Linked DNA regions of Styela clava. The protein of the gene in region 2 interacts with the protein of the main gene of each other region in a pairwise test. Links are inferred from orthologs where the notes say so. Each region holds a gene or a part of one and is shown on either strand. Other genes may lie near its edges.

Region 1 (8,309 bases), on a different chromosome or scaffold from region 2:
GATTCTAGTTTCGCTAGGATGCAACTTGGCTTGGTTCGACTCTCAAAACAATTGAAGTAGCCTAGTTTGAAAGTGTGAACCTGTATATTTTACACTATGGTGCCTGAAGGTTGTAAAACAGAAAGTTTGGAGAAAGAAATACCGTTACCTAGGTTGTAAACTCTGGACTACTGGTGCTGTAGACTAGGCTACCGGTAGATCTTCAGGTTTTGCAAGGTGAGTTAATTTATGATCTTCTAATTTATGACATCTCTAGTGAAACTGCAAGATTAGCTACTGCAGTAGAAAGTCGTGAACTTTTTATGCCTATATCATTTTCATACATCCTCAATCTGCTGATTCCTTTCAGTTCGAAAGTGGAAAAACATATCCTGCCATTTTACCTCTGGGGCATTCGCATTTGGCCCTTATCAAGTCTGTCATTGTATCAACACTACAAACGAATTTCTAGAAAGATCAGGAACTGGTAGCCTATTGGTGTTTCATTTTTCGATGGCAATGGTATGAATTTAACTGTTTAATAAATCAAAGCCTTTCTTATACATATGAGCATCATATTACTGTATATAGTGAGCCTCCTTGCACTAAGTTGATTTTTGTGCAATGAATAGGCAAATAAATTCAAACATAGTTTTTTGTCTTTTTATATAACAATTTTCATTGTTTGGAGTGATAATGATATAATTGCGAGCTTCAGGAGAGATTGATAATAAATTTAACTTCTTCTGAGCATTGAATATAATATGAATCTACCACTTTGCTAATGGAATCATTTTACCCCAGAAGATCAAGATATAACATATGTAAATATGTTGACTTCTCACTCAACTACTTGTTTGCATTTTATTCAAGCTATGCCATTTTTTTTCAGTCGAATTGTCAAAATAAACAGCCAGAGAAATCAAAAAGTGCAAGAAAAAATGACAGGGGCCACTGCAATGTTGAATCTACCTCAAATGGTTTCCACCTATTTGAAGAGATGAAATGAACTATTTTGCTGGCGGAGACAATCACTTCTCGAGTGTATTTGATACTGTTTCGTTGCTAATATTTGATCACATATTCTATTAAAAGTGATTTCTTTTCAATTGTATTTCATTTCTTCAGGTGGTGGAATGAGGGTTAATCGAGTTACTTTGCGGATGTTGTTTAGTATTACAACTTCTTCTTGTAGTTAAGGTTAGCATCGCTATGGCTGTAAAAATCGGAGACATCCAACCCACTGCTTTGCCTAGTACATACATTTGGTTGTAAAATTACAACCGCTTGCAACGATCCAATACATCTGAAGTTGTATATGGTGTTTACAACAAAGTGCATGGCATCGCTGCTGCCGCGCGTTTGGTTGTAAATCGCCCCTAATATTTTTTACAGTGTACCCACTCAAATGACAGCTGGGGGATGGATACTCTTAGTATCTGCTTCATCGCGTGCCTCTTACAGTCTTACCAGTTTACATGAGTGCCAATTGGTATCTAAGCTCAGCCAGAGACAAAAAGTTTCAAACTGCAGTTGGCGTGACGAAATGTTTTTAAATATATATTCTACAATAAGATTATTTGAATGCATACTACTGTTTTTTTTTTATTTCGTTAAGACGCTTGTTGTTAAATTTAACATTCTCTGAAATGCTTAATGGGCAAATTCACAATAATATAGGAATACGGCTTTTTGTATCTCACCATATTTAAATAGAAAGTTCTTGCACAATCTATTTCATAAAATTGTTTGAATCAATTTCCTAGCTGTGATGCCGCAAAAAAGATTAAAATCTTACGATATCATTTTTTGCGCGCAATTTTAAAACTGTATTTATTTATTAGCTCGAAGCTTTATTTATTTGATGAACAGATCTAATATATTCACTTTTTTCAGCGATTATTTATTGCCTTAATAAACACATTGCACCATTGGTATTTTGTTCCTGTCTATAACAGAATGTTGAGCATAAGCTAATACTAATATATCAAATCATGTATAGCCAAATCCGTAATATAATATTAACCTGGCGGTCTTGGATTAAATTTGATTATTTGTGTGATTGAACTCAAGTAATGACATAGACTTTTGTATATATTACGTATATTGTTTCGTGGCCATTGGCATTTGCCAGACCAGCCTAACCTTTTACGTCTCGCAAGCCACTTTCGCATGACAAAATTAATTGCTTGCCGCAAACGTGTCTATCAAGCTTTAATACCAGTCAAGTTCGGAAATACGTAAATGTTCACATATTGCATCAAACACAAGTTTATTTACATAAAATCGATCAAGTCAATATTCAATTACGGGTTACCGAGTAGGTCTGGGCAAAATATTCGAATTGGTGTCGGATATTAAAATAGCAGTTTACGAATTCAAAAATCTGGTAAATGCACGTGAACAAGGGACGTCACCTGCTCGTTGTTGAAATAAAGACTTGGATTGCACAATGCACAATCCGTGGATTTTATCACCCGCATATAGATTGAACCTGCGGATACATCAGTTCAAATGTATGGGTTCAAATGTACGTGGGTGCAAATTTCCGGTCACCGCACTAAAATGCATACAGAAAAACACAACGAATCTCGGAGCCAGTAGCAAAGTTATTGTTCATTTTTTATTTTACGTTGGTGATAAGAACGATCAAAGCCGACACGAAAAATAGTAATCAAAATGAAATTAATTTGTAAACCTAGGTTGAAAATTATTTGCTATAATTGTACTCAGCGTTCGTCGCCAATGATTGCTCAATATATCTTCCGAGTTCGTGAAACAAACACAACACATTATTAACCATACCCGCAGTCTCGTGTTGACAAACGAGTTATATTGGAATTTCCTGTTTTTCATTTCGTTAATTAAGACGCTTGTTGTTAAATATAAAACTCTCTAGAATGCTCAATGGGCAATTTCACAATTATATAGAAATACGGCTTAGTTCTATCTAATCATAATTAAATAGAAAGTTTTTGCCAAATATATTTCATAAAAGTGTTTGAATCTATTTGCTAGCTTGTAAAGCGGCGGCGTAAACTATTACGTATATGTAGTATTTTCATTTAGTTATCTCACAAAATATAAATCAGGAAATACACGTTATGGGCGATGAATTGGAGTCATCGAAATCATATTGATCTAGAAACTGTGGTTAAAGAGATTAAAATCTTACGATATCTTTTTTTGCGCTCAACGTTAAAACTGTATTTATTTATTAGCTCGAAGCTTTATTTATTTGATGAACAGATCTAATACATCTACTTTTTCCAACAATTTTTATTGCTTTAATAAACACGTTGCACCATGGATATTTTGTTCCCGTCTATAACAGATTGTTGGGCATAAACTAATAATGATAAATTAAGTCATGTATAGCCAAATCCGTAATATATATAGTATTAACCTGGCGGTGTTGGATTAAATTTGATTATTTGTGTGAATAAACTCAAGTAATGCCATAAACTTTTGTATATATTTCCTGTATTGTCTCGTGGCCATTGGCATATGCCAGACCAGCCTAACCTTTTTATTGCTTGCCGCAAACGTGTCTATCAAGCTTTAACACCAGTCAAGTTTGGTCATGGACATTCCCTTTCGTAGGCCGTGATGTGACTGGTTGTAAACCATCATCTATTTCTGGGAAGAAATGAATGTGCCGGTGATTTTGTGAAGAAAGCTTGTAATCGGGAGTTTCAGCCTGTTGCCTAATCAATTCTAGTTAAATATTCTGTTCTAGTTAAATATTAACAATATTAAAACTCGTAAACAGGTCGAATTTGCTTTAATTGAACGCATTAAATCTACACGATTATGTTAAAAGCAAAACGTTTTTTTCAATATATAAATCGCATATTAATCAGGACAAAACTGCATTTACTGAATGAAAGATTTTTTTCATAACTCTCGTGATTTGCAACGCAATTGCAAAAGTATGCAATGAATGCAATATTTTGCACGCTATATTCGCCAGTTCATAATTGATTAATCGGGGAATTTACGATGAATGTCAAGTGTTATGTAAAGACAAAACTAAGTTCAGACAATGCGCCAATTTCACGAATTTCTAAAAACGTGCACGAAACAAACTTTCGAAACTTCCAAAATTTTGAAAATTGAAGTTGACTGATAGATTGATCTGGAAATTGAAAACAGTTTGGTATAGAATAAAAACTGCATGAATACATAGTATAACCAAACTTCGGTAAAAAATTCACTCGCCCATTGAAATCACATCAATATTAGCATTGTGAATAACGCCAAGATGCCAGGTCTATAGTGTTTGTTTACTTTTGTGACGGAATCCTAATTTTAGAAATAGAGTTGCTTTAAAATCGTAGAACTATACTGCGTGGTAATATTCACGCTGATCGGATGTGTACAAATGTGTTTTATTGTGCATAATTTCTATCTTAAAAGGGCAGTGTCTAACAAGGTCGATAAAAAATGTTTTCTGAGATCTTGTTCAGAAACCATCAAATTGCACATCTCAACCGATAGGCGTTACAATGCCAAATTTGAGGTTAGCTTTCCTTGTAATTATGAAACCTTCCCAATAGATGTATTTTTACAAAAGTCTATTAAGTTTAAAATTGTAACTTGAAATTAAACTTAAAATGTTACATCGAAGCAATCGAATTTAATCGATAAGTTTAAAATCTTTTCTCGAGCAACAATACCTGTGCAATCAACAATTTTAAAAAAAATAGTGAAGTACTTGTCATATCTTTGTAACTTTGTGATAGTAATGAAATAGTTGATCAAAAAATGGTAGAAAAAGGATGACATGATTCGTTTCAGTTATATACATAAGCATACTCGATTATTTTCTTTAACAAGAAAATTTTCAATGAATTATTAAAGCAATTACTGTATAATTCACGTGAATGACTGTTATTTTATTACAGCAAACAAGCTGAAAATTTGATTTAATCAATTTTGCAAACCGTGAACTTAAATCATATTTTTAGATTAGTCAAGGAGGAGAAAACAACTGTCGCTTTTCCTATAGGTATATATAAATGTAATTCGCGTGTTGAAATCATTAAACTAGAACTTGTTTGATACTGAGAGGTTCATATTGCTAATATGGCCTCCATTTTATCGAGTTTGTGTTTGACGAGTTTTGTATTTGTCACCGCGTCATGCTTATCAGTTGACAAATACGGTAAGTTGAAAAATAGACATAAATGTAACATTAATTTTGTTGTATTGTATATATCATTTTTTACAAATTTATCATTTAAAGAGACAAGTAGTGTATTGATATATTATCTTTTTCATATTCACAACACGTTATTTGAAACAGTGAAAACATTACTGATCATAGAATAAAATATGTCAGAAAACAGTGATAGCTTTGAAATACATCCCATAATATTATTGTAATAAAAAACATTACAATGGTGTTAATTGAGATCTGAGAACGCAATATAATTGAAATGAATTTATTTTGTCTGAATACCTTCCGACCATTTCATTGGCTATGCTTGCTGATATGATGAGAATATTGTGTCTACTATATACTAAAATATTCAGGCATAAACAGCGTTTTTTTGAGAATAATTTTCTACCAAAATTATTTTTCAGTTCCCCCGTGTGAGGTTACTGGTTGTCCACCTCATAAACAATGTGTTGACGGAAGATGTATCGATCGTAAGTTATATCTGTATAGGTGTGGAAAACTGTCAAGTTAGGCAATTTTCACAGTACTGGTTAACAATATATTTAAAAATTGTATACTTTGTCAAAAATGATAGAAATGATAAAAAATTTACGTAATAAATTATGTGTGTGCTGTTCAAGCGCGTATAAGGGTACATCTGCATACTAAGTGATTTCTTATTTCAAAATAACGTAAAAATACGAAAGAAAGAAAATATCATGTTTATTTATTACTTTTTAAAATCTTTTTTCAGTTATAGCCATCGGTATACCACCTGGTGAATGCTGGCCCCCGTGCAAACATACGGAAGACTGTCGGTTTGGCGAATGCGTCCGTACGTATACAATTGCATATTCTCGAATTTTAAACAATTTCATTATACAATAACAAATGAATGTCTTTTCAGTGAATTCTCATAAAGAGCATGTTTTGGGTACTATTATAATTAGAATCTCCAGATAGCAGTTCAGGCGTAAACATCCTTTAGGTTATGTTATAGGCTAGGATACAGTAATCACCAGAAAAACCAACATATATAGATATACAATGCTCATGTTTGAAATTTGTTAAAATATGTAATTTTGTTAAAGATAATTTTGATAATATAAATGCACTTTCCGCACGCGATAAAACCGTTGCACAGTATTACTTTTGAATAAACAAGACAACACTCCATATACAGGAAGAAGTACTTCATGTGCAGCAGTTACATGCATTGTAGGACAGATATGTATTGATGGAATATGTGTTGGTAAGTCTATGAGATATTAATGTTATAGTCGAAGAGTTTCATTTTTGCTGTATATAGTTTTATTGTTATTCTGAATTTGCTTTTATTTGATTTAAGTGAACAAGTGCAAAATTGCTTGACTTCCGTTCGTTTACAGATCCAAATACGTGTTCATCACCATGTGCGTCTGGTCAAGTATGTAAAGATGGTAGATGCGTTTGCAGAAGAGGAGACTTTTACAATGGAAGATGCGTCAGTAAGAATCATTAATATTTTACAATTTAATTTTTCAATAGTTATTGTAAAGTGAAAATATATCAACACATTATGGCCATACGTAACATTACCCCTTCCAAAACTCAAATGATTTGGAAAGACTTGAGTAATAACTTAGTTACCTTTTTGCATGTGCTCGATTAATCTAAATGTCCATGTGCACTTTTATGTATAACAGTATAAAAATTGAATATTTTCGAATACCTGATAAATGTAGAAGTATATCAGAAATGTTTCAGTTCTATAATTAGTAACAACCATGATTTGAACCTACTGTATAGATCGCAACTTTTTAATTATAACCTGCGTTTAACCCGATTTGAGGTTTTATCAAATACCTCTGAATCATATTTAAGTTGATAATATTTTTGTTATTTCAAGTAAACATGATTCCGCAGGTATCTTTGCTAATATATATATAAGAACACGACTTCTGTGACGTTGTCTATCCCTGCGGGCAAATCATTTCTAATACAAGTAAATTTCGCGTTATATATTTCATTGAAAATATATACATCAATATCGTCAATAAAAGTCATAACCCAACAACATATTCCTCTGGAATATCAAAATATCAAGTTTTCAAACTAATATTTCTCCGTCAATTACGAGTATGCTTGTCTGTTTGATTCCATCGTGATTCGTGAATTTACCTCGAAACTTTTTTTTCTATGAAATTTATTGTTTCTAACACAATTTTCCAAAACGAATACGTGATGTCGCTGCGTTATATTAGTTTCTCATTTAACGATAATAATCTGTTATCATTATCACCTACGAATGTTTTGATTTCCAGCTTGTCCTCCCGGTAAAATATTCAAACCATGTTCGAACTGTCCACCGACATGTGAAAAACCATTTCCGCAAGCTTGTACCAAGGAATGTAAATTGGACAGGTATTGTGTGTGTCCTGATGGGCTGCTGGAACACAATGGTGGATGCGTGAAACGACACCAATGTCCTACTAGTAGGTTCATAGATTATGTTCTAGCAAAGAATATTAAATAAATTAAACAATCGTTTTAATACATATTTTGGATACATAAAATGTACAACAACACCCTAAGCAGACATTTTTATTGGTGAAAATTCTATGATACTTGATATCTGTAAAAACACTAAATTTCTTAGTTATATCCTCTAATCACTTGCTTAATTTTATTGAAGTATGGCTTAGTATGTATTTTAACTGCATTTGTCTATCTCATTTAACATGAACAAATGAGCTATTAGAAAAGCATTTTCCAGTCCAAACTAATAAATCCATTTGCTTTATCCATTTTTAGCGTCGTATAGAAAAGATTCATATAATTGAATTTACTTATAAATTGACTATTATGATTTTCAGAATGTGGGTATGGTGAGAAACCTACCGCATGTGCTTCGTTTTGTGTGGGCACTTGCAAAAACCCAAATCCCGAGATTTGTGCCCCCGCCTGCGATCCGAATAGAAAATGCGAGTGTAGAAAGGGATTCGTCCAAGTTAGCCAACATGACACTAGATGTACTTTGCTACAAAACTGCCCTCGGCCGCAACGTAAGTAAAATATTATAAACTTGAAACTTACCAGTTAACGATTCAATTTTCTGCAATGTCATAAAAGTTGTGGTTCAGGCTCATAAATAACTATGAATGGAAGTTAATGACACTATGGAAAG
Region 2 (8,823 bases):
CTTACATTTACAAACTCCTGTCTCTTGACCGTTGATTTCCATTCCATGTTGCGGTCGAATGACGCACTGAAGTCCCGCGTCACATCGTCCATGAGTCCCGTACAGTCCTCCACACGTTTCGTTGACTTGTTTGGCGCAGACTCGACAGCATCTGGGTAAATAAAGTTAGGTTGTAAAATAAAAATCATTGTTGGGGGTTGAAAAGGAAATAATCACAACAGGGTTGTCCAAAACGAATCGAATATCAAAGTATTCGAGTACCTTTTCGAATAATTCCGAATAGCTACTTTTCGCCATCAGCGAGGTGTTTTGTTTTTGCGGGAAATCTTCAAACGATTTTCCGTACTTTTTCACGTACTGTATTGTAATGACGATGGATACTATCGGCACTTTCATTGTTCGTTATCTTCTGTGCGAGCTGGCGCCTCATGTTGTTGCGACACCTTTGCATGATGGACATTACCGCTATTGCCCTACAAGGCTCCTAATTTACACATTTATTCATTTGCACTACGTCCAAAATTGCGTAAAGCTGCAATTGTTACGATACTAGGTAAATTGCCGGAATTATTGGGAAATATAATTCATACTTTTCACCACAGTCATAGTGGCACATACACAACTAATAAGAGGCAAATGATATAAGTTCTAAGTGATATAATACTTTCGCTGCACACTTATACAAATGCAATACTCGAGCGTATTTTTTGTACGATTTAAACTTTTTTCCAAGTTATACTCGCTTTCCAGGTATCTCTGCTATGTCGTTACTTTGTTTTGTTTTATGCCAGAACGACCGAAATAAAATTGCTTGATCGATTTCTGCCAGGCGATCTCATACATGGATATTTTCAAACGCAAAATACTAAGTTTCAAAAACTTCCCAAGAACCTTGTTCACGTTCATGGATTAATCATCAATGCCACCCATGGTGTACGAATTGCTGGACAAGAAAGTTTCCGGTTCTTTCGAAAATAGTATCTTCCTGTGTATCGTGTATTACCAGTGGTTGCCTTTCGGATGACGCGAGTAGCGTCACATGAAATTAATATATCCTCCAGAATTAATCCTCCAAAAGTTAATTTAAATAAGACCGTGTCTTACTTATATTCGGGGAAACACGGTATATTCCCCAGAATTGTTGAATTCACTCTGGGCCCGAATCGAGGTCGTGAATATTTTACTCATTATATAGTGCCGTAATTTATCGTGGTATATATCTAACATGGGCAAACCCAACTAAAACTAAAATTGATGTTTTAGCTGAAAAATGCTAAAGAAATTTGTTGAGATTGCGGTTAAATTTAGTTTCGTTACGAGGCTTATTGTTTTTCAATTTTGCTTTTGTAACACTATGAACTTTATTAATAAAATGTAATTTTTTGCATCACACTTACATGGCCCGCAAGTCCAGGCGACAAGGTTTTTGGCCTCTAGTTCAAAAACCTTGCCTACCCCTGGCATAGTTTTATATTAGAAAATGATATGTGTTGGCTTAAAAATGGTCCGTGAAAAAACTAGGATGCTTAAAATATTTTTATATTTGTAAATTTACGATATTTTACCCCAAAATTGTTGAATTCACTCTCGGCTTAGAGTGATTTTCGAAAACAAAGTCGATCTGGAATATTAATTGAGCGAGTGTCTTCTATTACATCATACCTTTACATAGAGATTAACAATTCTGGGTCGGTTCGGAAGCGTCCGCCATCAACAATTCAACGCGCTATGAAAACAATGGGTTAACTATTTCGTCATAAAGCGAGGTAGCCTCGGGCTGAAGACGAAAGTTTACTAAACAGAGCATAAGAAAATATTTTAACCCGATGTTTACTGATGTTTTAAATCATTCAATAGTTGAGCGGAGAAAAGATTGGTTGCGTTAAGAAGGTTAAGGTGAAGATTGTCAATCTTAAGCCTCTCAATCTGAATTGAACGGGCTGATATTTTGGTTCAAAATCCCGAAACGCCGAAGAAAAAAACAAAATTTTCTGCAAAGATGAACTTTGCAAATATGGCAGATATTTTTTGGGTTAAACAACACAATATTTAAAAAAATGTCAGACTTCAAATCCATAATATGAGAAATATCATCAAACTTGGAAATAATCTGACAACAAAGTTCAACTGAGGTTGGATTCGACGGCACATTGAAGAGAGCGTCGAGACTTGGTTGGTTGATAAAACTCATGAAATGGTGAATAGGCGACGCTCGAGAAGTATGTGTACCAATATGGAGGTAACTAAATTTGTTCGCCTACTTTACATCAAGTTGTGTAGAGGGACTGAAACCTATGGGCAGGGGCTATATTCACTTAGCTAACAGAGACAGTCCCCGAACTCGTAATAAAACCAAAATAAGGAAAATCGAAATAAAATCATAGCCTGACCCTAACCCGGTACACACATTACGCGAATACCGAATAGTCTCACTACGGATTCCTATATAATTCACTGCAAAAGTAGAGCAGTGCTCGAATATATGAACGCGGAGGTCAAATGTCAAAACATTGTTCCCAAGAATTAAAATGCAACAGCAAGTTTTGGGTGACTCTGATAGTCGATTGGTCCATCTTAAGTACTGAAATCGATTGTTGAGAAATGCGATTTTCTAGCAACAAACAACAAAACGATTCGCATTCATATTCGGTCTCCATTAATGCGCCACCTTTATGTCCACTTCATCCAGTTGGAAAAATGAAAATATTAGCCTTCTAGCACTGAAAATTTGGCACCAAACTACAAAGTATCGTCGCAGTAAATCCGTAGTAGCTCATTTCACATTTTGGTAAAATGACTTGGATTTCCTGTCATTATGGATCAGGGACCATCTTTCTGTTTGGGTTTCAAGGGTGTACCTGTTTTAGTTTTGATGTAGTGCTTTATGTGGATTTTTGGGTTAGGCTGTACAGATCTGAAATTTTCGAAATGCAATTTTCTCAAAACGATCCGCATTCATATTCGGTCCCTAATAATAGGCCATCCATATATTCACTTCATCCATAAATAAAACCGTAGAACAGGTGAGGCGGGCACGGTTTTTGTACCAATTGCCGAAAATTTTGCCTATCTGGGCAGGCGAGCAATGTATGTATGACATAAAAAGTTACATACCATGAACAATGTTCACAGTGTTACAAAAGCAAAAGTGGAAAACGATAAGTCTCGCAATTTAATCGCAATATCAACAAATTCCTTGAGTTATTTTAATTAAAACATCAAAATTTGGTTTTAGTTTGGTTGTGGCAGCATCAGGCGGGCCAGATTGAATTACCCAACGGGCCGGATTTGGCTCGCAGGCCGTGATTTGCCCATGTCAGATGTAGAAGAAGGTGAGGATTTACTGCGGCGATATGAACTTCATGCGCAATATGAAACACTCACCTGCAAGCATCTTCCACCAATCCACCAGGACAGTTGGAAGGAATCCGACATTTCTCTTTGTCGCACGGGAGGCAGCTGTGGGCATGGACAGTCGAAGCTAGCAGTAACATGCAAATCATAACGATGTATTCCATGTCTCGATTTTATAGTAAAGTTTGCGAAGACGTAATAAGTTTATGACGTAATCCTTGATTGATGACCTCACTAACGTTACATCCAAGTTTATTCCAAAAATATTCCGGATGTCGTAAAGGTCTCTGATTCTTCGACAATACTATATTGTATATCGCTATGCTTTAGAAAAAATGAAAGCTTAATTTTAACTTAGCATGGAAGGAGGAGACTACGGGCAGACATGTGGAAGAGGGAATGTTTGAATAGACTGGAGGGTTCGATAACCTGGGTTACCATCGGAATTAGGCTTCAGCTAGTTGTGATGACGTGGATGGCGTTTGGGAACTGCCCTACAATTCAGAGCTTATCTTGGACCGATAAGTCAAATCAAATAGAAATGGACTCCCTTCCGCTCAAGAGGCGTCAGATTTTATTTAAAATGTACCTACAATTGAGAGGGGCCGAGCATATCTTACGTCGATAAGTCAATTCAAATAGAAATAAATTGGTAGCGGAGATACTCTTATCATAATAAATTCGCATTCCATAACTTATCATAACATAAATTGCAATTTTTCCAAAACGACCTACCGGGCAACAAAATTAAGACACATACGTTTCATTTTCCAAATAATCGTACACTCACACATATCAATGCACAAAATCAAAAGAAATATTGTATAGCCACAGACGACAAAGTCATTTCCCTTCAAAGACGGAAAACTTTCACTTGGACATTTGAATTTAAATATAATTGTAATCGCATTTTCTGGAAAATGGCCTTTCTGACTTAACTTCAAATTTTCCACTCCGTCGCAAAATTGTAACCTCATAGATTGCCAGACATAAATCGGTAAAAATACAGCCTTCCAAGCTCATAATCACTAAGCACGGGAAAACAGAAAACTTTCAATAAGGCGAAGACGACGCGACTCGATCTGACGAATTCATTCAATTAATGTATTTCACTTAGCATTACGTTTGATGAAAGGATATTGTGTACGTCATAGTAAAAGCATAATCTATTTGTAATGTCATAAACAATATCTTTGTAGTTATGAGAAAATAATCAAAGCGAACAGCTGTATATGGCGTCATGGAACAAAATAGAAATCTTTAAAGTGATGTCACTATATATTAATCAAATTACGTCGGACGATATTTTAATCGCTTATTAGGTCCCAAGTCACGAAACAATGCAACAACATAATGAGATATAAAACGCTAGAGTGCATTGCTACTAGGGCTTTTATACTTAGGGGAGAAAAGCTATGGAACACGGATTTGTAGACCTCCCAACAAACACCGGCGAAAACACTGCATCTAAGACAATTGGCAACCACGAAACGAGAATACCGGTCGGAGACCGGAGACTTATCGATCGGAGGTTAGGGGGTCCCCCAAAACAGCGCTCTTACTCCATAGTGACACCGTGTGTCCCATCACTAATTAATTAATAACTCGCTAATTATACGACATAATTCATCGAAAATCAATAGGCTCCTGATCAGAGCTATGATATATGCACATGCGAAATTTGGAGCAGATTAAACCTTGCTTTCGTGAGATATCGCGTGCATCTAACAGACAGGCAGACAAACAAATACCTATCAACATACTTACCGATCTTAAGATCGATGAGTAATAACTGGGAAAATAGAACGCACAAATTTCGGCGCTCCAGAAGTGTGTGTACCAATATGGAGGTAACTAATTTTGTTCGCCTACTTTACATCAAGTTGTGTAAAGGGACTGAAATCCATGGGCAGTGGATATAATCACTTGGCTAACACAGACAGTCCCCGAACTCGTAATAGAACTAAACAAAGAAAATAGGAATAAAATTATGGCTAACCCTAACCTGGTGCACATACTTCGGTAGTACCCAAATTTCTAAAATATTCTATGAAAATGAAGAAAAACAACACTTGAACTTTTGTTTATGCATGATCGTAGCCGAAAGTTTTAGTAATCTTGGACGATTTGCACAAAAGTTATCTCCTTTCAAGAATATGTCATTCTGTCCTCCAGCGGATGTGACAACAAATGGATATCATGCAACGAATACGCGGTCACGAATCTTGCCTCATATGTCCTATATATATCATAACGGTATACCCGTAGTATGTGTACCAGGTTAGGATTAGTGCATACTGCATAATTTAATTCCGATTTTCCCCATTTTAGTTCTATTGGAAGTTCGGGGACTGTCTGTGTTAGCCGAGTGAATATACCCCCTGTCCATAGGTTTCAGTCCCTTTACACAACTTGATATGATATAGGCGAACAAAATTAGTTACCTCCATATTGATACACATACTTCTGGAGCGCCATCATAACCGATGCCAATACAGCCTGACCCATCAATTACCATCTGCCTCTATATACATGACTGCTATATATCGCTGTGCAACGAACAGGACAACAAATCGCCGCCTCAAAGTACCAACTGAGTCTATAGACCACCCGCAAAGCCTAGACCTACCGGTAAGTCAGACATAAATTGGGTGTGTCGTATAAGCAAAACTTTTTTGCATATTATGGCGATTCCCATGTCCATCTACACTATGAACGTTGATATCTCAACAGAACTATAAATAATTCCTGACGTATCAATTGCGGCAGAAAACCTGGCCAATTTTTTTCCCCAAAGATTTCAGTTCTGTGGAATTTACCATATCATAGCTCTTTCCTCATTCTATCGGGACTCTACCTGGACAGCTATTGAGCAAGAACAATCGAAGTTAGGGATGGGCAAATTACGGCCCATCTGGCCTAACGAAGTGTTTCATCCGGTCCACTTGTGTCCGCTGGAATTACGACTATAGTTATCATATCGATGAAAAAACGCCATAATGACTCCGATTATTAAATAACTTTTTTTATTCATAGTTTTTTTTATTTACATCACAGAGATTGAAAGACCACCGTCAGAGAGTCTCATGAGATAATTTGCATAATTTGAAATCAGGGAGGGATCGACGTGTGAGATCATAATGCGATCATTATGATGGAGCACTTATCATTGTGACAAGCTTGAATGTTTTGAATGTGTTAGTTACGACTAGCACAAGTTATGCATCGCAAACAATTAACAGGATTGCTATCCTTGTACCCGGCATGGACTGTTAACCGGACGAGAGGCCGTGTTCGCTACATGATAATACTGTTTTATCAGTTTTTTTAAAACTAAAAACAACATCTCACAACAAGAGACACTTCTCTGATTGCTACTAGATTAAAACACACAAGTAAACAAGCTAATTCCGATTACTCTGATTGTTTCATAATAAATACAACGAAAAACAAACAAAACGGTATATTGTTCGCGAATAACAACGAAAATATAAAATATCTGGAGCACATTTCATCCGGACCGAGCACAAAAATAGACAGAACAACATAACGAGATCTGAGCGTTTAATACTCACATGGGCAAACTACGACCCGCGGGACACATCCGGACTGTGGGGTAATTTATTCTGACCCGCCTGATGCTGCCACAACAAAAATAAAACTAAATTTTGATGATTTACCTAAAAAATAGCTCATTGCATTTGTTGAGATTGCGATTAAATTTAGTTTTGGCACGAGGCTTATTGTTTTCCACTTTTGCAACACTGTAAATATTGTTCATGAAATGTACATTTTACGGCACGCTTACCGCCAGTCAAGGTGGGCAAAATTTTTGGACCCTGGTTCAAAATACTTGCCCACCCCTGTTCTGATACCAACGAACTGACCACTGTCATAATACATTGGCTGGATATCTCCGCATTGTTCGGTATGGAAAGCTACTTTCTATTGTGAAATGTTAGCGGTTTTCACCCTTTTTCGTATATTTCCCCCTATTTTGGAACTATTAAATCCTTAATTTAATTGGCTGGCAACTCACTCTGATGGATGATCAAATGACCATAAGGACCTAATGACCAAAGGTCGTATCGTTGCCTCCCTTTCATGTACCGAAAACATCTGTTTATTCGATACATGTATTACACACGATACATTTGAACCTACGACAATTGCACTTGATTATATTGTACCTATGAAATTTTGTTTTGTTTTGCGGATATTTGAACCCATACTAACGCTACCCCATGGGTTTTAGCACCCGCATATAGATTGAACCCGCGGATATTCACATGGATTCAAATGTACGTGGGCTCAAATGCACGGTTACCGTATGCATATACTGTTCTTTTGTTTTGACAAAATGAAATAATCTCTCTCTCTCCTTACCCATAAAAACTACTTTGTTTGTCAATCTTTTATGGATACTTTGCTTGTGTTATGGGCAATTCGCTCTCCTGCTTTTATACAGTTTATAATGTGCGCACAAATACGTATCATAGTAATAATAATGAATTAACGGATATTAGTAATACCACAGCAAATAAGAAGCAAAATTTCTCCTTGGTCGGGAAACGTGGCCTTAAGCTAACGCACATATTATATATGTCAGTCACTCCGTCACCAGAACAAATAAGCCTATATGCAACTCATGATGCGTCCGACGGTCGCAATCCCTATTACTCCATACCCTTTTTAGCCGAAAGATTGGGACCTTGAAACTTATATCTAAAATTATTGTCTAATATTATTTACTGTCACGAGTGTACCCCTGTTATGATCCTTAGTGCGTCGCAATTCAATTGATGCTGTTCCAACTTTTTATTCAAGCGACTCTGCTTTGATCAAATTTCGGTACTTCCGGTAGTGTGTGTACCAGGTTAGGCCATAATTTTATTCCGATTTTCCCTATTTTAGTTCTATTACGAGTTCGGTGACTGTCTGTGTTAGCCAAGTGAATATACCCCCTGCCCATAGGCTTCAGTCCCTTTACATAACTTGATGTAAAGTAGGCGAACAGAATTAGGTACCTCTATATCGGTAGACACACTTCTGGAGCGCTCAAACTTGTATTTAAAAAGTGCTGTCTTATATGATCTATACCGAGTACATGATAACCCATAGAATGCGCCGGTGAACCAACTGGTCTATCACTCGGTACGCTCTCTAATCTTCAGGACCTTGCTTTGAACAAACTTGTACGTAACGTACAAAGTATTGTCTCACAAATTATTCAAATTATATTACACAAATTCTCACTTAAAGCTATCGCCGTTTTAATCTCCTTAATTCCCTGCGAACACTCTCTCCGAACATAATAAATTTTTAATTTCGCACAAACACCCGAACTCAACACCTGACGATCGTTGTTTGTCGGAATCGGAATTCTTTTCTTGCGTGCGAACATGCGCAAGCGCAATCGCACACACACTCAGTATCGCGGGCTATAAATGAGCAAAAATATCTCGATCA

The links.
Region 1: the proteins of cysteine-rich motor neuron 1 protein-like (region 2) and zonadhesin-like interact in a two-hybrid assay, tested with the Caenorhabditis elegans proteins (2 studies listed by BioGRID). The link is inferred for Styela clava from reciprocal best matches to the Caenorhabditis elegans genes crim-1 and Y69H2.3.

Annotation. Positions count from the first base shown.
Region 1 is NC_135252.1:14,404,291-14,412,599, reverse strand, and holds the start of zonadhesin-like, read left to right. Parts: upstream 1-4,990; 5' UTR 4,991-5,067; coding exon 5,068-5,146; intron 5,147-5,568; coding exon 5,569-5,634; intron 5,635-5,897; coding exon 5,898-5,978; intron 5,979-6,326; coding exon 6,327-6,395; intron 6,396-6,531; coding exon 6,532-6,630; intron 6,631-7,446; coding exon 7,447-7,617; intron 7,618-7,998; coding exon 7,999-8,187; intron 8,188-8,309.
Region 2 is NC_135262.1:101,417-110,239, reverse strand, and holds the start of cysteine-rich motor neuron 1 protein-like, read right to left. Parts: upstream 3,698-8,823; 5' UTR 3,519-3,697; coding exon 3,385-3,518; intron 152-3,384; coding exon 6-151; intron 1-5.